Linked DNA regions of Xenopus tropicalis. The protein of the gene in region 6 purifies or fractionates together with the protein of the main gene of each other region. This does not show direct contact. Links are inferred from orthologs where the notes say so. Each region holds a gene or a part of one and is shown on either strand. Other genes may lie near its edges. The genes, in order: cops7b, cep78, cul4b, dyrk2, cul4a and dcaf1.

Region 1 (4,015 bases), on a different chromosome or scaffold from region 6:
CTAACTAACTATATTAGAAATATTATTTATTTTGCACAGCCTAATACCAACTGAATTACCATTCAGTGACTTGAGGGGGGGGCCATATGGGACATAAATTTTCAGTCCGTTTGCATTTGAATCTGACCTGCGTGCTCACAAACTACCTGAACAGTTATGTCCCACGTGACCCCCCCTAAAGTCACCGACTAACTATGAGGTTAGAGAGCTGAAAGCAGGTAGAAGTGGACTTCTTGCTAATATGTTAGGCATCTACCCACTCCAGCCTTTATAGATTACATTTTTGCCAACTAACTATATTAGAAATATTTTTAATTTTGCGCAGTCTATCTATATTACGCAGTTTCATTTTTACACTGAACTGTTCCTTTAAGGGGATGCTGCAGACTTACTATTAATCTTTGAACAACCAGAGTGTCTGGTGTTAAAAGATGATTATATTTTCCCTCAAATATATTTGTTCACTGATACTGAATTTAGTGAATTGTCAACTAAGCAATATGGCAGCAGTGTTTCCTCACTAGTAGCAGTGTCCTATACAGATGCCAAAATAAGAAGCAATGATCAGTTGCAATAAAAAAAACATTCAAAAGGGTTCATAATGACCACTGTAAAAGCAGCATTATTACTATTCCTTTAACATTTTATGATTTTAGAAGATTTTCTGCACAGCTATACAGTTTTTATTGGACAAGTATTGTGCCTAAAGTTTCAGCAGGTTAAAAAAACATTATTAGAGAAAGAAACAGTAGCCTTCATCCTTACCTCTTGCACGTTAAGTAAATCTAAAAGTTCCCCAAATACATAGACTCCAGGAGCCTCTAATACTTGGTTTATAAGAGCTGGAAGGGCTGAACCTTTTGTGCCTTTGGCTAATAAAATAAACTGCTCCAGAATGTTACTGGATGGCTTTTGTTCTCCTGCCATGCTATAGTTGTTCTCCTACAACTCTATAAATAAGAAGCAAAAAAAGTTACATGGCATGAACAATAAATGTCAGCTAATTCAAAGGAAAATTATGCACTTTCAGGGTTACATTTAACTTGTTTACATAAAAAATATACTTTCGGAGTGGGGCGGCAAACATTCTGTACATTCAACATTTATTCTTAGTGTATTCGCATTTACAGATATAATCTGGCGATGCCACTACTGCTACAATTAAGTTGTCTATAAAGATGTCTATGTCTGTCAAGATTTACCTCTGCTGTGGTAAACATTTATTTATGCAAGTATGAACCGCTGCAGTGTTCAGTGGAGAATATTCTAATCAAATACATAACTACTAAAGAAAAAAGTTTAAAATAATAATTAGATGAAATATAATTCCATCGAGGCACACAGTGGTGTAAAACAAAGACAGCAGCCCAGAAGCTGCTTGAAAAGTATGTCTGATGTGCAATATATAGGAAAATTGTACCACATATGGTTAAGTTATTAAGGTTATTAAAATTCACAATGAAATTCCATGATCATAAAAAAGGCACCAAGCTCTTTGAAGAAGAACACACTTGGGCTCTCTCAGACAAACAATTTTTATGTTATGCAATCAATTATGAAGCCCAAAACAGGGAAAATGGCTCTTGATTGTGGCCTATTATTTATTAAATAGCATTATTAAAAGACAACTAATCCTCTATTTTATTTTAATGATTACTATTAAACTACAACCTTCAATCACCCATATAACATTACAATTCTATGTGTAGTTGGTGTCAATAGTGTCCAGATAAAGAAACAAAACAAAAACTGTAGTACCGTGTTAGCCAGTGTCAAAAATAATAAGAAAACACAAATACAAGGAGTATTGTAGAAATTATACCTATATTGGCTAACAATAAAAATACACTGCAAGCTTTCGGAGCTCTAAAGCCCCTTCGTCAGGCACAATACAAATGAAAACTGGAATCTTTTTCATTTCAGTTTTCATTTGTATTTATCCTGACGAAGGGGCCTTAGAGCTCCGAAAGCTTACAATGTATTTTTATTGTTAGCCAATATAGGTATCATTTCTACAATACTCTAGTATTTGTGCGTTTTTATTACAGATAAAGGAAGCACCAGTAAGTATATCGTCATTTTTGGGCATATAGTGCCACAACTGTCAAATATATGACAGCTTCAATGTCAAGGGAATTGTAACTGGGTTATATGAATCCTTTTTTGGCAATGGTTACAAAAGGACAAAGCACATTTGCTAAAGCACAAAAATGTCAAGTTTGACAAACTTTTGGCATAACAAAGATTTGCCACAATATTTGCAATTTACTAAACCCATAGTACAACAAATGTTGTTGCATATTAACTTCACATTGACAAATGTGCATCTTTTACACAGGTGTAATTACACTACTGGTAAATGTAATAAACAAGCCAGTTTATCAAGCGTCAGTACGTCTTTTTGGTAAAAAGTAGTCTTATCTGGTGCAAGCTGGCTATCTGGCTGGGTAATCTAGCAGCATAAATAGCTAAAAGTAGTAGTTTCACACCCATATCCACATCACACCCACCACATAGAGTAATAATCCTGAACAGAATTTGCAGTTTTACTTGCACCTGGAGGCGAGCAGCGTGGATTCTGCCTCTGACAGACGCCCTGATTAGCTTTCCGTAACACAGAGGTCCCAGGGCCACGGCACTGGGAAGAACTCTATAATACTGCGCTGCTTTTCGGAATCGTATAGTAATTACTCGTTATTTCGGCATGGATTTAACAACTACCCCCTTGTCAAGAGGCTCTGGATAGGAAGATTTACTAAGCTACATCAGTTCCTCCTATTTGCCCTATGACGTTTAGTACAATTCAACAAAAATGCTAGCACCGGCCAATCACAGTCGGAATCCCTGCTGAGCGATATCGCCACGCACCAATTAGGAGAGAGAACGTCGCACGCAGGGCGGGACAAATCGATTTCAAGTGTGGTTGAGTGCTCGCGCGTCATTAAGTAGAGAAACCTCACGTCGCATAGAAACGGAGAAAAGTTGTACGGGACACGAAAAGGGTCAAAATACATACACTGACTATTGGTTTCAGGCGGTAAAAGTGTAATTGATTGATATTAACATAGTTGGGAAGATATTGGGTTGTATTTTAGGTTAAATCTACTAAAGTAGGAACATATCTTATTCAACCTTAGTATGTGTCAATATGTCAGGTGTATGTAGCTGGTGATGCTGCATAATCAGTAAAAATTGTAATTGTAACTTACCTGCTGCAAGAAATAAGCCTGGCAACTAAAGGAGAAGGAAAGACAGTTTGGCATTTTACTGTGAATGGATTAGCCACAATAGTGCAAGCTAGGACTCTATTAGATTCTATTAGGGCAGGAGAGATTTAGCAGTTGCACACTTCCAACTCATTATTATTAACAGCCCATATCAGGAAGCATGCAAATGATAAATTTCTTTATAATCCCACTGACTATATTAAACTAAAGGATCGTGACTTTGCCAAAAAATCCTGCATAACATCATTGGTTATCCATAGTAGGAGTTAAGAAATGTGCAAGGGGTTAACCTCTCAATTATCCCACTAGATTCATTGTATTGGAACTTGTGCTTGCGGTCACCTTAAAAAACAATTCTCTCCAAATTCATTACCTTTTTAATTTTTGCTTTTTTAATATATGTGAATTGAAGTGAGGTACTAGTTTTTACTGTGATTATATGTTATTGTGAATATTGGTAGGCTGGCCAGCCAAATTTTTAAGGTGTTTTTAATGTGATAGATATATTCAATACTATTAAATTGTGATTTTTATTTTTGCCTTGTCTGTTGAAGGAGGTAGAGGTGGGTGGGGCCCCCATCTTTTAGTATTGAGTTTTAGGGTGTTACTCTATTGGAACAATTGTAAAGACCTTTTAAGGGCTGTCTCAGACAGGGAGACTAGTCGCCCGCGACAAATCTCCCTTGTTGCGGGTGACTAGTCGCCCCGAAATACCATCTCACCAGCGAGTATGTAAATCGCCGGTGGGATGGCATACGCGATTTCCCTTTGAGAGGAAACTTCGGCGC
Region 2 (3,500 bases), on a different chromosome or scaffold from region 6:
TCTCCAGAGCAGGAAGCCTCCCACTGTTCACGTTTGCCTCTCTGGCCTTTAGATCAGGATCAAAACCTTCTTTGCTCTTCTGGCTGGTGGTACAATATTTATCTGCCTCTCGGGAAGAAGGGAGTGTATCAGCAGTCAAAGCATTGGATTCTGATGGGCCTGTATGCTCACCTTTCTTATCTCTGCTTTGTGCCTAGAAAAAATATCAAGAATTAACATAAAATGACAACATGAAACTGAAGCTTTCCCAGCTCCTGGACAAAATCAAGCAAAATGAAATCAGCTTAGCAAAATACAGCTAATTTCTGTCAGTCACTGTAAATCGCTTTAAAAAGTTTTAAACAAAGCCCTTTTTTTGAAAAGGGGGAATAAAGGAACATATAAATTGCTCCATCACTAGCCCCCAATCATTAACTGACTACCCTTCATCCTTTCATTAAAATCTGGGGGTCTTTGTCAGTAAAGTAAGGGTGGTCACTGCAGAAGTTTCTCCTTTGATGGAAGATTTTTTAATGGCTACGATGAAAAAGCCATGTATTTCGGCAGGTATTCTGCATGAATGATTGTTGTGGGCGTCTCTGCCATTTTTATAGAATCTAGATGCATGTTCTAAAAAAGCCAGTCAGTTTCAACAACACACGCCATTCACCTACAGTGCAAGTTTAGATAACGCCTAACTGTGCAAGTGCCTAAATGCACCACAGAAGAATCCCTTGTGAGGACAACCTGTATTAAAAAAAAAGTGCCTGCTTACCTGATGGATAAAGAATGTTTCTTGCTGATCTTGATGTGGCATTGGTGCCTGCTGGGCTATTTTATCAATAGTAGAAGACATCTGAGGATCCCCTGGCAGAGCAAAGTCTGACTGGTCAATGCCTGCAAGGTTAGCAAGCTGCCCCAGGCTGCAGAAGCGATCAGGAATTATTATGGTTCTTTTGCAAAAATTAAATAATAACAAGATAACAAATATCACTATATATTTTTCTATAGGAATGTTTCTGTAGCATATACAAATTGCTTGTTACACACTTTTAAAAGTTCCAAATAAAAACTGAGGATCAAAAATAATTGCTAGGTGTAGTAGACATACTGAAAGCCATATTACCTACATATGGGACCCTAATGTATCAATACAAATACAACTACCAGGTGCAAAAATGTGCACTATAAAGATCACAACAATTGTAAATAAAGAATCCAGAATAAGTTTCAGAATGCAGAGGCACAATGGACCCCTAAACTTTAAATAAGTTATGAACAAGGCATAAAATACAGGAGTCATTTAAGGGGCCCATTCATTAAAGTACAAATTTGGGATACGTTTTTGTTGCGGAAATTCACGCAAACCGTGAAAAATGCGCAGAATTTAACGAAAATATTGTGAACATAACGCAAAGTTCTAAAAATTAGAAAAAACATTAATTCATACTCAATCGTACTTTAATGAATGGGCCCCATAGGGGCTGATTTATCAAAGTCCGAATGGGTACGATTAAAAAAAAAATTGTATTTTTTCTGAAGTTTAGAACTGTTCGTACAGTTAACAATAATATCGTTAAAAAAGTACGACTTTTTCGTGATGGGAAGCTTCCAAAATCATGCATTGAAGTCAGAACGGGTTTCCCGCCGTTTCCGATCGCTCGGATATGAAATTTTCGTAACTTTCGGATCGTACCACGGTATTTTGGTATGACCACGGTACAAATTTTCACGCAATTAATGCACATTAGAAGTTATCGTATTTACTCCAAATTCTTTCTAATCGTACTTTTAAACATCTGAAATTCGGACTTTGATAAATCTTCCCCATAGTGTCTGCAAAATGTTGATCCTGTACAATTGCACACTGTATACATGCCTACATCCCACACAGAACATACCTGTACAAAATGTACTAACACAACCTACTATAGTGAGCAAAGTACAGTATTTTAAATATATAAATACATAATATATATATTTAATAGTTTTAAAGCAAACCTACACCTTTTGTTAATGTTAGACTTCAGTTTAGGTGCAGTTTAAAAGAGCCGGACATGTGCGAGTGTGGAATGCTTATACTAGGTTACAGAACATGCCTGGCGGCAGCAATTGTTTTCCTTCCAATTTCCAATCACATGCAACTTACCCTGCATCTTTTAGAAGATCCAGAAACGCATGGAACTTGCTGAAGGACTTTTCAATGCTGTCAAGGACACCTTCATCCTCCAAGATCACAGAGGTAGCTGTCCTCGAGTGAAGAGACTCAGAAAGAGTATGATTTATTTGCCTTAGTCGAGTGTTTTCAAACTCCAGCTAAAACAAAGATCATAAATATCTTGGAATAGACTAAGAAGGACTGAATAAATATCTTATCAGAAGAATAAAATGTAAAAGAATTATTGCAACCATAAAGTACTGACTTCCATAACAAAATTATAGTTTATATTGCCATTACCAATACTCATGGGGGAAGCAAACAAAAACTGATAAATTAAACACCTACATCTCTAGATTATGGGAATACTAGGGATAGTTTTCTAACACTGGGCAAATCTGCACATGTGCAGTATCTCATAGAAAAGTTAGTAATTGAGACAGCAGTTGAGACAGCAGCAAGGACAGTACCACCAGCCCAGGGAAAAAAACTACCACTCACTATGCCACCATCTTGTTTGACCCCCTAGGGCCAAAAGTTGGATTAGCTCAATATCGGCCACTTAGGAGTATATAATGTATGGCAAGCTTTAGACTTGAGCATACACAGAAGACTTAGTTACAAAGTGCCATTGTGATTGGATTAGTGGAAGAGTATATATGCTGAGGACTTCCCATACCAGTCAGTTGAACTGACGAAGCTGCTCGGATGAGTAGTGAAACGTCTTCAATGATTACTTAACAAGTCCAGTTGCTTTAAATTTATTTATACTAGATACAGAAGACTTAGATTTTCTAATTTTTTTCTACTGCACAAGTGTGAGTCTAAGGGGCCCATTTACTTACTCACGAACCGGCCGAATGCGTCCGATTGCGTTTTTTTCGTAATGATCGGTATTTGGCGATTTTTTCGGAAAATTATCGCAACTTTTTCGTTGCCATTCCGAATGTTGCGCAAAATCTGGCGATTTTTTCGTAGCGTTAAAACTTGTGCGAAAAGTCGCGCCTTTTTCGTAGCCATTCCGAAAGTTGCGCAAAATGTTGCGATTTTTTCTTAGCGTTCGGATTCATTCAAGCTTCAGTATGGTGACTTTTCTTGGGCCAGGTTGGAGCTGCAGGGTGCCATTGAGTCCTATGGGAGGCTTCCAAAATCATGCTAAGTCTGAAAGTTTCGCCCGCCACTTACGAGCACTCAATACGAAAAAGTCGCGACAAGATACGAGCGAATCGTAATGGCTACGAAAAACTCGCGTTTTTTCGCGAAAATCGTATTGGTAACGAAAAAGTCGCGACAATTTCCGAAAAGTCGTAAAGGCGCCGAAAAAATCGCAAAAAATACGAAAAAGGTCGCAAAATGTTCGTTT
Region 3 (4,233 bases), on a different chromosome or scaffold from region 6:
CCAGAAAAAAAAACGCAAGTATCCCTTGGTGCTGCAGAGGTTTGCCACTGCAAATACATAGACATACATAATACTCCTTTGTAAACAGTAAACAGTGTATTGTTGCTCTTTGTATCACCGTTTACCAATAAATGTGGCAATGCTCCTTTATACTGTATGAGCAGACAAGTTCTTTTGCCGAGAATTCCTTCATTTCTACTTCAAGCCTGTATATGAAACAGTACTACAATTTAGGTGTGCATTGTGTCTGTTTGATATAGGATTAGTTGTACTATTAGTATATCAGAAAAAATCACAAGCACTTAATACCAGTTGTACAAAAAAATGAAGAGGCTGGTAAGGTCTTTTGCCAAAACAGAGTAATTTTTTTTTTTTACATACAATTACTACTTTTTAAAGGCAAACTAACAGCACAATTTCCTGAGTTTCTACCTTATTTTAGCTGCATCAGCTAAACCTTTATATATAAATTTATTATGGGCATACCCAGGGCTGTATATTGGTCATGTGCCATCCTAGGCACCAGCCTAGTTTACCCCCCCCCCACTTAGCAACTGGTGCACATGCATTGCAGTTTGCATAATGCTCATGCACCAATAACTGATAGAAATTTCTTAGAAATTATTAAATTCCCCCACTTTGCACTAAGGCCTCTGGCACACGGGGAGATTAGTCGCCCGCGACAAATCTCCCTGTTCGCGGGCGACTAATCTCCCCGAAAATGTAAATCGCCAGTGGGATGGCATATGCGGCAGGGCAATTTCAGTGAAATCGCGGAAATTGCCTTGAGGAAACATCCGTGATTTCACTGAAATCGCGCCATCCCGATTTACATTTTCGCCGGTGGGATGGCATTTCGGGGAAATTAGTCGCCCGCGAACAGGGAGATTTGTCGCGGGCAACTAATCTCCCCATGTGCCAGAGCCCTAAAGAGATCAGGGCCAGAAGCCACATTGATACCACTAAACAATCTGTTTGCAAATGTCAACAAACACACTTCTGTGTGGGCCCAAAATGAACCAGCCTGACCTGATTCTGATTAGCCATGTTAGTAAATGGTGAATAGCCTCACAAATCTGTGTAAAGTGTTGCAGTTATCACCTTAACAGTTATTTAGCAGATTGTCTAAGGGCTCTGGCACATGGGGAAATTAGTCGCCCACAACAAAACTCCCTGTTCGCGGTCGACTAATCTCCCCAGATTGCCATCCCACCTGCGAAAATGTAAATCGCTGGCGGCGTGATTTCAGTGAAATTGCGCAAGTTGCCTCGAGAGGAAACCTGCGCGATTTCATTGAAATCGCGCCACCCCGTATGCCCGAGACACAGGTGGGATGGCATTTCAGGGAGATTAGTCGCGGGCGACTAATCTCCCCGTGTGCCAGAGCCCTAAGGGCAAGGATGCTTTCTGTTGATCTGAAACCATCCTACAAAAGCTCCCGTGTAGTTTAGTCCTGAATGTTGCTTCACTAACACCAGCATGATTTGTGTGTTGTGTGTAGACAAATGCCTAAAATAAACAGTGTTCACTTTCAAATTATTCTGGAAGTGGACATTGAAGAAAGATTTTCAGTGTTTTGGCACTGGTCCCATGAGATACTAAAAAAAAAAAAAAAAATGGCTTTGGCCAATGAGTCCCACAGGAATATTGACACTGCAGCTTAGATCGGTTGTGACAAAGATTTTTTTTTTAATAGAAAAGATTGCCTTTGCATTGAAGATATCCCTTAACTGTAGCGCTCTTAGTATTGACACACAGATCTGGTTGGGTCAAACAGGAATGCTTGTAACAAGCATCAAATCCCCTAAGTGCTCCAAAATATTGCGGATCCCTATAGAAAGAATCAAGCATTACCAGCTTAAAACACTTTGGCTTTATGCTGGTTAGGAGTGCATCAATACACAAGCCCTTAGAAGTCAAAACTGCCATTCCAGATAGATTCAACCATAATAAAATAACGCCAAAAGGAAACTGTAATTTTACCATCATGAAAAAACCAAACAGGCAAACGTTTGCCCCAAACTACTGGGTGACACAAGACAGCATGCTAGTTTCTGAATTCCAAATTAAAGGAGATTTTATTTTGACCAGAGCACCCTTGTAATCACCTGGTCCTTAAGCACATTCTGGTCAAAGTATTACACTCCCTGAAGTGACCTATCAAAGAGCTGATTGAATGGTGCCATCCCTCTTTACCTTTAAAGTTCTTGATGACTAACTTCTTGGCTGAGCCAGGCTTGCTGTTGGCAAAACTGGACACGGGTGAGGCTTTTGTGAGGCCATTGGCATGATGCCCAACGCCCACTGGGGAGATGAGCAGGTTTTTACTCCTCACTGCCTGGGGAGTAGAGGAGGATGAGCAGGAAGAAGAAGGAGACTCCTCGGCCATCTTCACATCGAGTCCTAGAAAGTCCAAAGTGTCTTCAAAACGCAGCTTCTTTTGGATGTGGTTAGAGGAGGAAGAGGAGTTTCTGGGGGGCGACAGGGGGTCCAAATCGTCCTTATCGCTGCTGCTGATATTCAACCTTCTCTTTTTGGAGGTGCTGTTTCCCTCAGTCCTTACCTCCTGCGCCGGGGGGTTGGGGGTTGATAAGCCTGTGGGAAACATGAAAACACCACAAATAGAAAAGATTCAAGGCAGCCCAGACTGTGTGTGACCGCTGGATCGTGTGGGGACCGCAACAAACAGCTAACGTGGCCCTTTGGTTAGCGCTTCCCAGTGGCCCCCTCGGCAGGCACTCTGCTTTAGTTCTGCTCGGTGAAGGCCCCGGCCCCGCTCTCCGGATATCCCCACTCTTTTTCTTGTTTATTGTCACAAGAGCAGGGAACCAAAGATGGCCTCACTTCCTCTCGCAGTGCATGTTGGGAAGAGTTCCCCAGGAGGCTGCCGTGAGCCCACACCCCTTCCCAGCCGGGACAGTCAGGGAGCCTTTGACGCCAGCTGCTGCCAAACTATCAAAACCAAAGGGGTAGCGCTTACTGCATTAACTATAGCGCGAAAGGCTGGCTGTGTTCCCTCTCTCCCCTCCCCTTTTTATTCTACTGTGATGTCATGGCAACCTTCGTACCTTGTTTTGACTGACCGGAAGGACTAGCGATGAGGTCTTTCATAATGCCCGACCGTGCGGGCCTCATCCGTCCCCTTTCTCCTCGCCGAGCTTCCGCCTTAGGTTGGTGCCGGCGAGGAGTCCCGACAAGGGGAAGGAAGGGGCTGAGGCTGGAAACTACTCGAGGGGGAGGAGTCGAGGGTTGAATATTCCCGCCTCTGTAGTGACGCCTAAAGGGAATAAGGACCAATAATCAGCTTGGTTTGGGTGACATTTCCCCCTGATGCCTCCACATGGTACCGCCTGTTCAGCAGCGTGGGGGCCGGAGAGGCTTAGAATAGTTACATAAAGGAGAGCGCCAGTAGTTGCGTGTGACGCTTCCCGCTTAAAATGAGTTCCTTGTGGAAGCTCCTCAGTAACTACTCAGTACTACTACTCAGTAAGCGTCAAACATGAAGTTTGTGTCTGAAAGCAATGTATAATGGCGTGTATAGCAGGGATGAAAAGTACATATATTAACCCCACTATTCATTTAAGTGCCAGATTAAAATAAACTTATATCATACAAAGTGGTCAATTTGGGTGATATAATAATCTCTGGGAGAGTAAGGCTTCCCATTGGATTACGCAGCTGTATACCAGATTCTGACTGAAAGCAATGGCTGAATGTGTTTTTTTTTTATAAAGCAGCTATTCTGGGTTCTCTATGTGCTTGTGAGCCTGCATACAAGTTATAACACCAGCAAAAACAACACATGTTAAGCACACCAAAAGGTGTATGCTCATACTTAGTTTCAGCACTTGACCCTATTCAATTGTTTTTTTTTTTTAACAGATATGCAAGCACTGGTCACTGCATAAAGCACTTATGAATCATCTGGTAAAGCTTAATAGAGATGTTACATATAACTAAATAACTAATTTGGGTTGACAAAAGCCCAAAGCCTATCAAGTTCAACATCTCTAAAAACCCCAGTGCACAAAAATACACATACCTATATAGACCAATCTATACACTTACAAATATAAACTATATATACCCAAATAATGTTGAAGCTAGGTGTTTGTAGAACTCACGGGCGTTGCTGCCATGAGGCGAGTTGAGAAACTCACATTAGGCTGTATTGCCTGGCAAGTTACTGGAGGCGGCAAAAAGCCCCTTCAGGTAACTTAAAGAGCCTTGTGT
Region 4 (4,215 bases), on a different chromosome or scaffold from region 6:
AATGTAGTGAAATGTAATGAAATATAGGTTATAACCAACACTTGCAGTTAACTTGGGATGCTCAGTGCATTCAGCAGTAAGCAATACCCTTGCATGCATTACTATTTAGAGAAAACTAAACGGATATATTCCTCAAATTATACAGTTTCTAAATTTAACCAGTACGGTGATTTTCAATGGATTTCCTACGTGTTTTTACAATATTTGAGTAAATGTCCTACATTCCCCCAGAGACTGCAACACCCCACACTGACACAATTCTAGATCCTTGCATCAATACCATACATATTTAAAGATGAGAATTAACAGAAAAATGATCTGTAATGTTTCTACATAGCTGTGTACAAATTGTTGGTTGAATTCAAAAGAGCTGGCCTAAATCTGCTTGTTTGGCAAGGCTGCCACGGAACTGTAATCTAAGCCTCATTTACTGGTTATCACCACTGTTTTCAAGTAGCTGACATACTCAAAATATCCTGCACTATGCATGGTTTATTATACTTTGTTGTAGCTCCAGAGGCAGGGGGAACACTCCAAAGATGCCCTTCAATAGCAATGAATTAGTTTAAAGCATCCGGTGCAGTGTTATGCGATTATTGCTCCAAAATGTCAAGTGGTAATTACATGCACAAAACTGCCCCAGCTAAATTCAATTTAAAGCTAACGGAGGGACAATTTGTAGCATTATCCCCTGCCCACAAAGCTACAAAAAGTTAATGTTTTCAGATTGCTCTGTGTCAGTAACCTAAGGGGGAAAACAAATTGGAGTACCATACATGCAATACATGCCATAAACCAAAAAACTCTGTAACTCCTATACATGCACAAAATGTAGCTGCAAAAGCCTGTTCCTCTAAATGCCGTTCTAAAATATATTTCAAAGCAGAGCAGCTGTCAGGGAGCAACTGCTCCACTAATATGGCAGCTGCTCTACTCATATTGAAATGATCTGTTTCTATGAATACCGATTGCAAAGGAGTAAAAACTTGACAGAACCTCTGTCCTTTTAAAAGGACAGGCATTACAAAAACACTGTTAAATGAAAACTGTAAGCTCCATAACATTTGATGTCATTAATATTATATATACATCTGCGTTATGATAGTAAAATGAGATGACAAATGAAACAGTCACTCCATGCCCTGAGTATAATCTGATATTCTGCATCTAATACATTTAACTAAATTATACATTTCTTAAAATAAAAAAAGCATCACTTGAGCAGTTCTGGAAAGCTATGAAACCAATTGCATATACAGGAGAGTGCTACCTGCATATAAGTATTAAATATAATTCAGAAAGATGTTTAATAACCAGAAACAAACACACTACTAAAACCCCCATGATTTGAAATCATATGCTTATTATTATATAATTGTGCTTTCAATTTCCCATAAGCATGGGTGTGGCTTAATCTAATAAAAATCAAAACATTGCACATTTTAAAACGGAGCTTTCTTCCATTCTCCAAGAAAATATCAGAAAAGTAGAGTGAGAAATAAATAAATAAATGTCCACATACAATGTACTGGGAATCAGCCCTGCTGTTTTCTTGAGCTCTGCTCCACAGAGATGAGATAGAGACTAACAGTGTCTGGCTGTCAGCCTGACTGTACCTTGCACATTTATTTCTATTAATACCAATCATCTGGCTGGAATTGGAAACATGGAGGAGGGGAAGGTATGAAATCACAGGATTAAGAGGCAAAATGTTCATTTCTGTTGCCATTGGTAAGTAGGTAAAGGATAAGCTATGCCCTGCTAGTATTTCCCATAGCAGCTGTTCTTACCGTATGCGTTGGATTGCCGGTTCTGAGGGGCGGCAATGACACGGGGGATGGGGGGCCAGTTCCGGCTGCAGATCGCGGTAATCCCGGGGAGGGCTGCAGCTGACCGGTGCCTCTACCTCCTCTGCCTGAAGCACAAAACAAACACCATAGCTCAGGGCAAGGAATGTCCCCCAATAACTACATGCAGCCAGTCTCAGCCCTTGTTACTGCTTACCGGCCATTAGTTTAGCTATGTCAGCCATACGCCATGTGTAGCACTCGGGCCGCTAATACAGTAAAGGCTGCTGTTGTTAATAGGGATAAACCTATGATCTCAGATTAGCCGGCCATTAAACGCAAGTGGAAAATGAAAGAAACAGGAATTCCAAGTCGGACGGCATTTTTGCTGAGAGTCTGGCTGGCACTGCTGTCAGTCTCCCACGGATTTATTGCCTTTCCGTGCAGGGGACTGAATGCTCAGGCTGCTCCCACTGTACGGAGCTACACAATGCCCCCGGCATGATTGCTAGGGCAGAGGGGTTCCTGGCACAACAATACAGAGAGGAAGACACTGGGGATGCCATTAACTCACCTCGCATGTGACTGGGGGTTACAGTAATAGGAACGCTGGCAGCCTGGGGTAAATAAAGGGGAGCTTCCCCCCGGGGGTGCATGGTAACGCTAGATTGCGGGGACTGACAGAGAACCAGGGTTACCATAGCGCAGCAAACGCCCTCCCCCTACTCTGCTTAAACGAACATCCACCGTTGCCTGTAGCAAATACTGGGCAGGGCCGCCATTTGGTAAGGGGGGAGGGGGCAACAGACTCCCCGGGCCCGGCTGTGCTTCACTTACTTGGATTACCGGGCCCCTTGCTGTCAGCGAGCTGCATACTACGGAGTGGAGGGCGGCAGCTAGGGTGCCTGCATGTTCCTTCCCGGTAGCGTCTAGGTCCCTCTGCCTCAGAAAGGACCTTGATGACATCACGATCACGTGACAGTACCATGTGACCGCCCTGCGGAGGGTTCGCTGTAGTGCAGCGGTAGATTCAAGTGGGGGAAATGTACCAACTGATTCTGGGCTACTGCTTTCTCTGCGATATGGCGGCCTGCAAACTTCATGTTATCTGCAACTTTATGCCCCCTCGTTTGAGTTTAGCCAACTGGTAATGTAAGATGGGATCAGTGTGCTTGGGGGTAAATTCACTGTTCCTGTTATTACACAATTCCCAATTTTCCTGTTTCATATACTAATGCCCTCTGAAAGATATGTAAGGTGTGATTTATCAGCAATCAGTGTGTTATAGCTGGTGTTTCAGAGACAACATTTTCATGGGAAAAAAAACCCCAACTATCTGCCTATAATCCCCTCTAAGCACCTTTCCTCCAGATAGAACAACCTCAACCTTTATTATTAACATTTATTTATAAAGCACCAACATATTAAGCAGTGCTGTACAATAACAGTCTAACCTCATACTTTAACACTTCGACTGCCATACACATATCTAGTACGTTCTTTGGCAGTTGAAACTTTTCTTCTGCATTGGCGGCTTTTAGCCATTGGTGCGGCATAACATGTGTCATAGATTTGTGTATTGTTTGATCCCACCTCATGCTTTTATGCATTCATTCTAACACTTTTGTTAGAGAAAAAGAAAAAAAACTCCTTCACCTCAGCTCTCAATATTTCTTTTAAACTCATTTATGTTTTCTGCTCAGATTTCCAACTTTGCCAGGGAACTAAAGATATACTTTTTCCTTCTTGCCAACAGTACCTGCTTATCAGAGCCTTTTGTCCAATTTGTTCAAAAAAAGAAAGATTTTTTGCACAAGTTAGGGACAGGTGAAATTGTCAACTTTTTTTTAATATACTTTGAGGGTATTTTTGTACTAACAAGGGGCAAAATAAGATTTAGGAGACAACAATGGGTGAAATTGACGAAAAGTATTCTTACTCTTTGTTTCCTCTGGTCCTCACTGATGCAGGTTCCCTGTCAGTTCTGCAGCAGAAAGTTTCTGGGCCCAAAAGGGTGTTGGTGAAGACTGGTCCTGAAAGTGGTTTTCTCCATTTCGCAAAGACGTTAGACCACACCAGCTGTCACCCACTGTTACCCATAAACACAATTTGAGTTGTTTTGAATTTAATTCCGGCATTTTATGTGAAGATTATATTTTTGTTACAATTTAAGGACAACTATTAGGTACCAAGTTTTTATGTTCTTCTTTTTTTTTTTTTTTTTTTACATTGGTGTCCTAGACATTTTCTTTAACTCCTAGCAGTACCCTCCACCATCTCTTCTCCCAATTTGACCAAAAAGCAAAGTGTTTTTGTGTCCCAACCATCTCTTCTAGTACCTACAAACCAATGACTGCTAGGCAAGAATCATAAGATTCCAAACTCTAGCTCTAGTATGCTAAATAGAGTTCCTTGACTTATCTAGGGT
Region 5 (4,182 bases), on a different chromosome or scaffold from region 6:
AGTTACAATTTACATTTTTTTAGATTAGTCACCCACGACAAGGAAGATATGTCGCACGGCGACTAATCTCCCCATGTGTCACAGAACTATAATAAAGATGCTGATCTTCATGCCAACACACTTTACTGCTCCAATATGCCTGTCCTCCCATCCACTCCACTTAATGTGTCCCTTTTCACAGCTGTACAAAAACAAAAGGTAATAACTACATTACTATAAGGAAGCCTACAAAAAGCTCCAAATCTACATCTAATCTCTATGTAATGGAAAAAGAGGAGCACAGCCTTAAAAATGATTTCAATGCCTGAGTGCCAGTAATGCTTAGTTCACAGCACTCTGCAGGTTTTTTCAACAACACTAATAAGTGTATTTATCAATGGGAAAAGTACATTATTTGATAAATACGCTTCTAAAAATCCCAAAAGTAATGAATGGAAAGTGGGTGAATTTTTCTGTGGTAAACTTCTAATTTCACATTTTGATAAATCTGCCCCTAAAGTGTGTTTATTGGTTCAAAGACCTGATGCTTGTTATTAACTATATCCACTGTCCCTTGAGAAGTATCTATAATTACAGGAGATATTAAAGACCACCATCACAGTTAAAGGATGTGCTATGTGCTGCTCCCCTGCTGCTGTTCAACATTAAAGGACAAGGAAAGACAAAGTCACTTGGGGGTGCCAAAATGTTAGACACCCCCAAGTGACTTTAATCGCTTACCTTGTACCCCGGGCTGGTGCCCCTGTTAGGAGAAAACAGCATCAGCCCGGGGTACGTGGAGTGATGCGCTTCCTCCTTCCTGCTACTTTTAGCTGCGACTATGCGGTAGGCGCATGCGCGGTAGAGTGAAAAGTCGACTTCTTTGTTAAAGTTCAGCTTTTTCACTCTTCTGTGCATGTGCGCGCAAGCGATCAGGAAGGAGGAAGCGATGCAGCTACCCCGGGCTGGTGCTATTCTCTCCCAACAGGGGCACCAGACCGGGGTAAAAGGTAGGCGATTAAAGTCACTTGGAGGTGCCTAACATTTTGGCACCCCTAAGTGACTTTGCCTTTCCATGTCCTTTAAGACTAATGGCACAGAGGTGTTTGATCATTGGTGCCCTCAGAATAGCTGCAGTCCAATGGTCCATCCCCTCCTGGCAGAACTGAATGTAAAGCTGGCCATACACACACAGATGATATTGTACGAAACCTCATTCGATGCATGTATGGTGGATCAACGAAACGACCGATGGTCGCAGGAAAGTTTAGAATTGCTACGTGTATGGCTCCATTCTGAATGTACATAAAACGGTGACAGACCTTGCAGCCTGCCAGAAGACTCAGGAGAAAGTAATAGGACATAGGGCATTTTCGCCACTGTTACTCTCTGAAGGAGAACAGTCACAGTCAAAATACCCATCTCCACCTGTCACTGCTCTTAATCTCAAGCACCCTGTTTAACATACACATAGCAGATATAGGCGCTTCTGCTCTTAACTGTTTTGGTGCACTGGTCTGCCTGTCACTACTCTGTGCCCATCAACCATGGCACTTCTGCTGAAACTATCTAGCAGAAACCAGCGGATTAAAGCTAATAAAAAAAAACATAGTTCTAAGCAACCAATATGAATTTATTAAAATGTTTTTGGTGCTTTAAAAGTTATTTGTAAGTACAACTGAAGGCAGAATTTGCTTAACTGGTGGCTATGCCTTTTAAAAACAATGCTGAAAAGCCAGTCTCCTTCAGCAAGACAGGTCTGTCTATCTGCTGGATTATGTTATATTGTTTCAAAAGCCACAGCCACCTGGGCAGTGAATAGAAAAGGACAATAGCAATAATATCTACAAATAACTTAAAAACCATTACAAATTTGTTATGAATGCATATTACAAGGTTGCTTAGAATTATGTTTTATTTTATTAGGCAACATTTATTTTGGGTTGACATGTCTTTTAATAGACTTAGAAAACTGACCTGCTACACTGGCTCAGGAGTCAATATCAGCCAACAGAAAGAGACACACAGATATTGCATTAAATAGCACATACATTTAAAACAACTTGAAATGTTAATGTAAACTGGAAAGTATATTTTACATGGCATTATTAGGGAAAAAAACAATTTATATGAGGATATCCCCATTAAAACGAGCAGAGGTGCCTCAGGTTGGACAGATCCCATGACTTCCTTCTTTAGGTGATCACCTAGCCCTCAACGCCAAAGCCAAGTACTGCTGCACAAGTGATCAACAATGTGAGGCTTTTCAGAAACTGTTAAATTTCAGAGGTCAGCGGCCATTAAAGGCACCAAGGTCCTGCAACTACGAATGCTAGCGCTTACAGAGTTGTTAAACACAAATAAACACATAGAGACGGCTGGGGCAGCCGCCTGGGGCCCATAGATGTAGCAGGGAGGGGGGCAAGGCCGGCCCAATCACCCACAATTACAATCAAAATAGCAGCTAGTAATGTTACACAACATATCCCCCAGGACTCTTTAGCTGCCGCTGATTTTCTTTGCAGCAATGACTTACAAACAAACGCTCGACTTCCGGAAAAGGAGCAGTTTAAAGGTGATCCCGAAGTCTTAAAAAAAACATATTGAGTGCAAATGTGATGTCACAGCCACGTGACCAAGAAGTGGAAAAGAGAACATGATGTCACGAAGGGGCGTGTCTAGCTGCGGTTTACATCAAGGACCCGCCCACTATGAAACAACCTGAGAAAGCTGCTGTCAGAATGGAAATTGAGAGATATGCCACAGAGTGAGTGAAATGTTAACATACATTTATGAGGTTACCTGTGTAATTAAAATGGCGTTCCATATAGCGGCTGGAACTATCACCGGCATTAGCCGCTGATAATATGTACAGTCACTTCCGGGTCAGGGGGCACAATAGCCGGTTTCCGGGGGAGTTAAGCGAGAGTAATTTTGTCTTTGCAGGAGCACAATTGTGTAGGAAAGCGAAATGCAATTTTCTTACTTAATTTGTTGTTAAGATATGAATGTTTTGCTTTTATTTTCAGGGTAAGTACATGACACCATCTCTGGGCAGGTTGTATTGCGCGCTTGAATGGAAACTCACGTGTTTCTTGGTCAGTGTTTAATGCTTTAGGCTTTAGGACAGTAGTCTTCACAGTAAGGATGAAGTTCTGCAAAGGGGATGACCAGTCCAAAACTGTCATTTTGTGTAATGTGAGAAAATGTAATCCTACACAACTTTCCAATACATTTAAATTGAAAAAAAAGTTTTTTTAAATAATTGTTATCGAAATATGTATTTGCTACTCCTTTCTATTCTTTACACTCACTTCTGGTTTAAACTTTTGAGTTTGTATTAGGACTACCACTCTACAGAAAATTCCAATTTCACAAAAAAAAGTTACTACTATGGTCTTAGTCTGGACTCTTCCCCAATTCTCTCCCTAATCCTAGAGTGCTGGCATTCATTACATTAAAATTCATTGCCGACACATTTTGCTCATGGCAATGCATATAGTATTTATGCAACCTTTTTAACAGTTGATACATTCCATCTTATTCTTCTTAGTCTTCTTAGAAATGAAGCAACAAATGTAGCAAATTGTAACACTGTAGAGAGCCTGCATCTTGATTTTGAGGCACTACAGTAAAATACTATATAAAAAGATTTACATTTAAAATTAAAGGGGTGGTTCAGTTTTGAATTGAGTTTGGTTTTAGCAGCTATCTGGTTTCTAGAGTCCAAATTACCTTAGCAACCAGGGAGTGGTTTGAATGAGAGGCTGGTATATGAATAGGAGAGGACCTATTCAGTAATAATAACAAAATTGTAATCTCACAGGGCAATAGTTTTCTGAAAGCTACAAAAGGTTAGAAGAAAACCGCAAATAATTAAAAAAAAACCTATAAATATTGAAGACAAATTGAAAGGTTGCTTAGAATTGGCCATTCAATAACATACTAAAAGTTACCTTAAAGGTTAACCACCCCTTTAAATCTTACAAAAAGTTAAACAATCTAATTGTTGACGATGTGCGTGAAAACAAATTAATGGAAAAACGGTTTCTAAGGCAAACTACCCTTTTTAAACAGTAGTATAGAATTTTTTCTCAGTGTTTGATGCTGTCACTTTTAACTCATTGTAGTTGTAATATTCTGATTGAACACCCTTTTGTCAAACTACAGTGTGTCTGTATTAACTGGAAACAGTGTAAATGT
Region 6 (3,500 bases):
ACTGTGTTTGTGCTCCTGAAACGCGAGTCTCCAGCATTGGCAAGTATGTCTCTGGGACACCTCGAAGAAGGGGACTTGTTTGTCCGACCTTCCATCATCACGGACGTGGAGAGCCTACACTTTCCAAGATGTGGAATGTTGTCCAATCTAATAATGGTATCAAAGTTCTTTTGTCTTTGCTGTCTGTTAAAATGCCCATCACGGATGCCGATCAGATCAGGGCTTTGGCTTGCAAGGCACTAGTTGGCCTAAGCAGGAGCACTTCAGTTCGACAAATTATTTCAAAGCTGCCCCTGTTCAGCAGCAGCCAGATCCAGCAGCTGATGAAAGAGCCAATCCTCCAGGACAAGCGTAGTGAGCATGTGCGGTTCTGCAAGTATGCAGCCGAGTTGATTGAGCGAGTGTCTGGGAAGCCACTGCTAATGGGAAGTGATGTGTCTCTTGCACGCCTGCAAAAGGCAGATGTAGTAGCACAATCTCGTATTACATTCCCTGAAAAAGAACTCTTGCTACTAATACGGAATCACCTGGTATCCAAGGGATTGCAGGAAACTGTGGCCACATTGACGCGAGAGGCTGATCTACCTATGACTGCTGCTTTGCATTCTTCTACCTACCTGCCTGCCACTGCTACCCAACCACCCACTACTTCTTCACCTGTTTCTCTGCCACGCACACCACGGATCCCTGCTAGACTTTCAAGTACAGCACTGTGCCCTCACCCTCCTTCTTCAAGACCTCAGTTACCACCACCTTTATCATCTCCTGCCCCAGTATCCACAGGCTCACCACTCATTGGGCGTATCAGCTTTGCTCGAGAACGGCAGTCACCTTGTAATGGAAAGAGGGGGCGTGTTCTGCGGCAGAAATCAGATCATGGAGCCTATAGCCAAAGCCCTGCCTTCAGAAAGCAAATGGAAAGACATGTGCCGTCTCCTCCCACTCTGGACAGCATTATGACTGAGTATCTGCGAGAACAGCATGCACGCTGCAAGAATCCAGTTGCTATATGCCCCCCTTTCTCCCTCTTTACTCCACATCAGTGCCCAGAGCCTAAACAACGCAGGCAAGCCCCTACAAACTGCACTTCCAGATTAACCCGACGTGCTGCCTTTCCCAAATATGGAGGTGTAGATGGGGGCTGTTTTGACCGACATCTAATATTCAGCAGGTAATGTAGGGGACCACATAATTATGTTTGGAATTTCTTGTTTTGAGAAGACTCAAGGGAAACCTGGAACAAATGCTTTTAGAGTCTAATGTTATCTTCCTTGTTGGCAGGTTCCGTCCAATATCTGTGTTTCGTGAAACCAATGAAGATGAGAGTGGTTTCACCTGTTGTGCATTCTCTGCACGTGAGCGCTTTCTGATGTTGGGAACGTGCACAGGGCAGTTGAAACTATACAACGTGTTTAGTGGGCAGGAAGAAGCTAGTTACAATTGCCATATCTCTGCAATAACACACTTGGAGCCATCTCGGGTAAGCATCATTCAGTTAATAACCTCCCTGCCTTTGCCTGGCCTGCATCTCACTTTTTCAGTCTCTCCTTTTATAGGGGAACTAAAACCTAAAAATGAATATGGATAAAAATGCCATATTTTATATACTGAATATATTGCACAGCCTAAAGTTTCAGCATCTCTATAGAAGCATGACCAGACTTTAAAACTTGTCACAGGAGCTCCCTAACTCGGAAGTGTCTTTGACACTCACATGCTCCGTATGCTCTTAGCAGCTGTTGAGAAGCTAAGCTTAGGATTTGTCGCAAATTATCAGGCAGAAAATGAGGTTCAGCTGTCATATAAGCTGATGATACAGGGCTGATTATTAAATTGTGATGCTAATTGCACTGGTTTCAGAGCTGCCATGTAGTAATTATATGTATTCTTTTCTAAATCAGCCTTATATTATGACATTTATTTTCTATATATACAGTATATTGTGCATCAGCCCCTAAGCTCAGTAACTAACAGCAGCACAGAGCATGTATAGTGAATCAGCAAAGAAGATGGGGAGCTACTGGGGGCATCTTTGGGGGCACAGATCTTCCCTGCTAAAGGGCTGTGGGTGCCACGCGCTGGTGCAGAAGCCAGAAACATAATGTACAATATTTCTGCCCTACTTCTTTAATTAGGCTTTAGTTCTCCTTTAAACTCCCAGTCAACCTTTCCTGTCCTTCTCTCACAGGATGGGTCTCTTCTTCTAACTGCAGCCACATGGAGCCAACCTCTCTCAGCACTTTGGAGCATGAAATCTGTATTTGAAATGAAGTGAGTTTGCTAGGTTAACAAATAGTCCTTAGAAAAAGTGCTCCTGTTTAAAAACACAACCATCTTTAGGGGCAGTTTTTAATCTCAACTACATTTTCATTTCTAGGCATTCATTTACTGAGGATCATTATGTTGAATTCAGCAAACTTTCACAGGATCGTGTCATTGGCACAAAAGAAGATGTGGCTCATGTGAGTATTTACCTTTTTGGCTGTGGAATTAGCTCTCAACCAATCTTTGTTGTACTGGTATTGGACCTCCTATCCAGAATATTTAGGACCTGGGTTTTTTTTAAATAAGTTTCTGTAATGTAGATCTCCTTACCTTGTCTACTGAAAAATAAATTTAGCTTTAAATAAACACAAAAGAATTATTTTGCCTCCAATAGGGATTCATTATATCTTAGTTGTGAACTTGTGATCAAGTACAAATACTGTTTTATTACTACAGTGAAAAAGGAAATTATTTTTAAAAATGTAAATTGTTTAATTAAACTGCAGTCTATGGGAGATGGCCTACTTGTAATTCAGAATACAGAATAACGTGTATATACCATATATAATACAACATATATTCTATGGCAGATTTTGAACCTTTCAAACGTAAAAATCTAGGAGAAGCCAAACATTCAGAAGAAGACTGTATATTATTGCATTGTTAGGAGCCGACCGGCTCACAGCAAATGTTATAGTAGAGTTCAATGTAGAAGAGAAGAAAAGCTCATTTGACTGCTTGGGTTATTATCATATTACATGGTGGGCTCATGTAGATGGCCAGCTTATATCAACCCCTAAGTTTGAATTACAACGTTATCTAATGCCCTGGACTATTTCACTATTGTAGAACCATAAAATAAGCAACTAAGGCCTCCAAGGCTGTTGTGAGCTAAAAACCTCCCAGGAGCTTTAGTTGCCAGTCTGCTCTGATTTATGGATAGTATATGAAATTATTTAGTACATTAAAGGGGTTTTTCACCTTTGTACAACATTCACAAATCTAATAGTTAACAGAACTATCTTTGTCATATACATAGTTAACAGAAATGTGCAGCTGAAGAGAGATTCGTCTCAGAATCACACATAGTACTGGCAGCATGCTTAACTCCTATTGGCTGTGTCTCCTGTCAGTCTGGCACTACTTCCTGTGCAGAGTGATACAAATCTAATTTAACAGTATTTTAGATTTGTGAAATGTTGTCTGTTTGAATATGCAATTTCAAGGGAGAAATT

Evidence for each region.
Region 1: the proteins of dcaf1 (region 6) and cops7b purify together in Homo sapiens (affinity purification with mass spectrometry; 3 studies listed by BioGRID, with this or other methods). This does not show direct contact. The link is inferred for Xenopus tropicalis from reciprocal best matches to the Homo sapiens genes DCAF1 and COPS7B.
Region 2: the proteins of dcaf1 (region 6) and cep78 purify together in Homo sapiens (affinity purification with western blotting; 3 studies listed by BioGRID, with this or other methods). This does not show direct contact. The link is inferred for Xenopus tropicalis from reciprocal best matches to the Homo sapiens genes DCAF1 and CEP78.
Region 3: the proteins of dcaf1 (region 6) and cul4b purify together in Homo sapiens (affinity purification with mass spectrometry; 9 studies listed by BioGRID and IntAct, with this or other methods). This does not show direct contact. The link is inferred for Xenopus tropicalis from reciprocal best matches to the Homo sapiens genes DCAF1 and CUL4B.
Region 4: the proteins of dcaf1 (region 6) and dyrk2 purify together in Homo sapiens (affinity purification with western blotting; 5 studies listed by BioGRID and IntAct, with this or other methods). This does not show direct contact. The link is inferred for Xenopus tropicalis from reciprocal best matches to the Homo sapiens genes DCAF1 and DYRK2.
Region 5: the proteins of dcaf1 (region 6) and cul4a purify together in Homo sapiens (affinity purification with western blotting; 15 studies listed by BioGRID and IntAct, with this or other methods). This does not show direct contact. The link is inferred for Xenopus tropicalis from reciprocal best matches to the Homo sapiens genes DCAF1 and CUL4A.

The regions. Positions count from the first base shown.
Region 1 is NC_030681.2:101,190,800-101,194,814, reverse strand, and holds the start of cops7b (COP9 signalosome complex subunit 7b), read right to left. Parts: upstream 2,801-4,015; 5' UTR 2,543-2,800; exon of another isoform or gene 2,511-2,542; intron 951-2,510; 5' UTR 928-950; coding exon 766-927; intron 1-765. UniProt on the Homo sapiens protein: Component of the COP9 signalosome complex (CSN), a complex involved in various cellular and developmental processes.
Region 2 is NC_030677.2:132,575,132-132,578,631, reverse strand, and holds part of cep78 (centrosomal protein of 78 kDa), read right to left. Parts: intron 2,296-3,500; coding exon 2,129-2,295; intron 933-2,128; coding exon 755-932; intron 194-754; coding exon 1-193. UniProt on the Homo sapiens protein: Centriole wall protein that localizes to mature centrioles and regulates centriole and cilia biogenesis. Involved in centrosome duplication: required for efficient PLK4 centrosomal localization and PLK4-induced overduplication of centrioles.
Region 3 is NC_030684.2:46,091,676-46,095,908, forward strand, and holds the start of cul4b (cullin-4B), read right to left. Parts: upstream 2,801-4,233; 5' UTR 2,609-2,800; coding exon 2,197-2,608; intron 1-2,196.
Region 4 is NC_030679.2:58,472,271-58,476,485, reverse strand, and holds the start of dyrk2 (dual specificity tyrosine-phosphorylation-regulated kinase 2), read right to left. Parts: upstream 2,801-4,215; 5' UTR 2,776-2,800; coding exon 2,625-2,775; intron 2,605-2,624; exon of another isoform or gene 2,489-2,604; coding exon of another isoform or gene 2,362-2,488; intron 1,916-2,361; coding exon 1,791-1,915; intron 1-1,790. UniProt on the Homo sapiens protein: Serine/threonine-protein kinase involved in the regulation of the mitotic cell cycle, cell proliferation, apoptosis, organization of the cytoskeleton and neurite outgrowth. Functions in part via its role in ubiquitin-dependent proteasomal protein degradation.
Region 5 is NC_030678.2:116,032,484-116,036,665, forward strand, and holds the start of cul4a (cullin-4A), read right to left. Parts: upstream 2,801-4,182; 5' UTR 2,782-2,800; intron 2,747-2,781; exon of another isoform or gene 2,651-2,746; intron 2,624-2,650; exon of another isoform or gene 2,516-2,623; intron 1-2,515. UniProt on the Homo sapiens protein: Core component of multiple cullin-RING-based E3 ubiquitin-protein ligase complexes which mediate the ubiquitination of target proteins. As a scaffold protein may contribute to catalysis through positioning of the substrate and the ubiquitin-conjugating enzyme.
Region 6 is NC_030680.2:127,315,037-127,318,536, forward strand, and holds part of dcaf1 (DDB1- and CUL4-associated factor 1), read left to right. Parts: coding exon 1-1,171; intron 1,172-1,281; coding exon 1,282-1,480; intron 1,481-2,188; coding exon 2,189-2,271; intron 2,272-2,377; coding exon 2,378-2,462; intron 2,463-3,500. UniProt on the Homo sapiens protein: Acts both as a substrate recognition component of E3 ubiquitin-protein ligase complexes and as an atypical serine/threonine-protein kinase, playing key roles in various processes such as cell cycle, telomerase regulation and histone modification.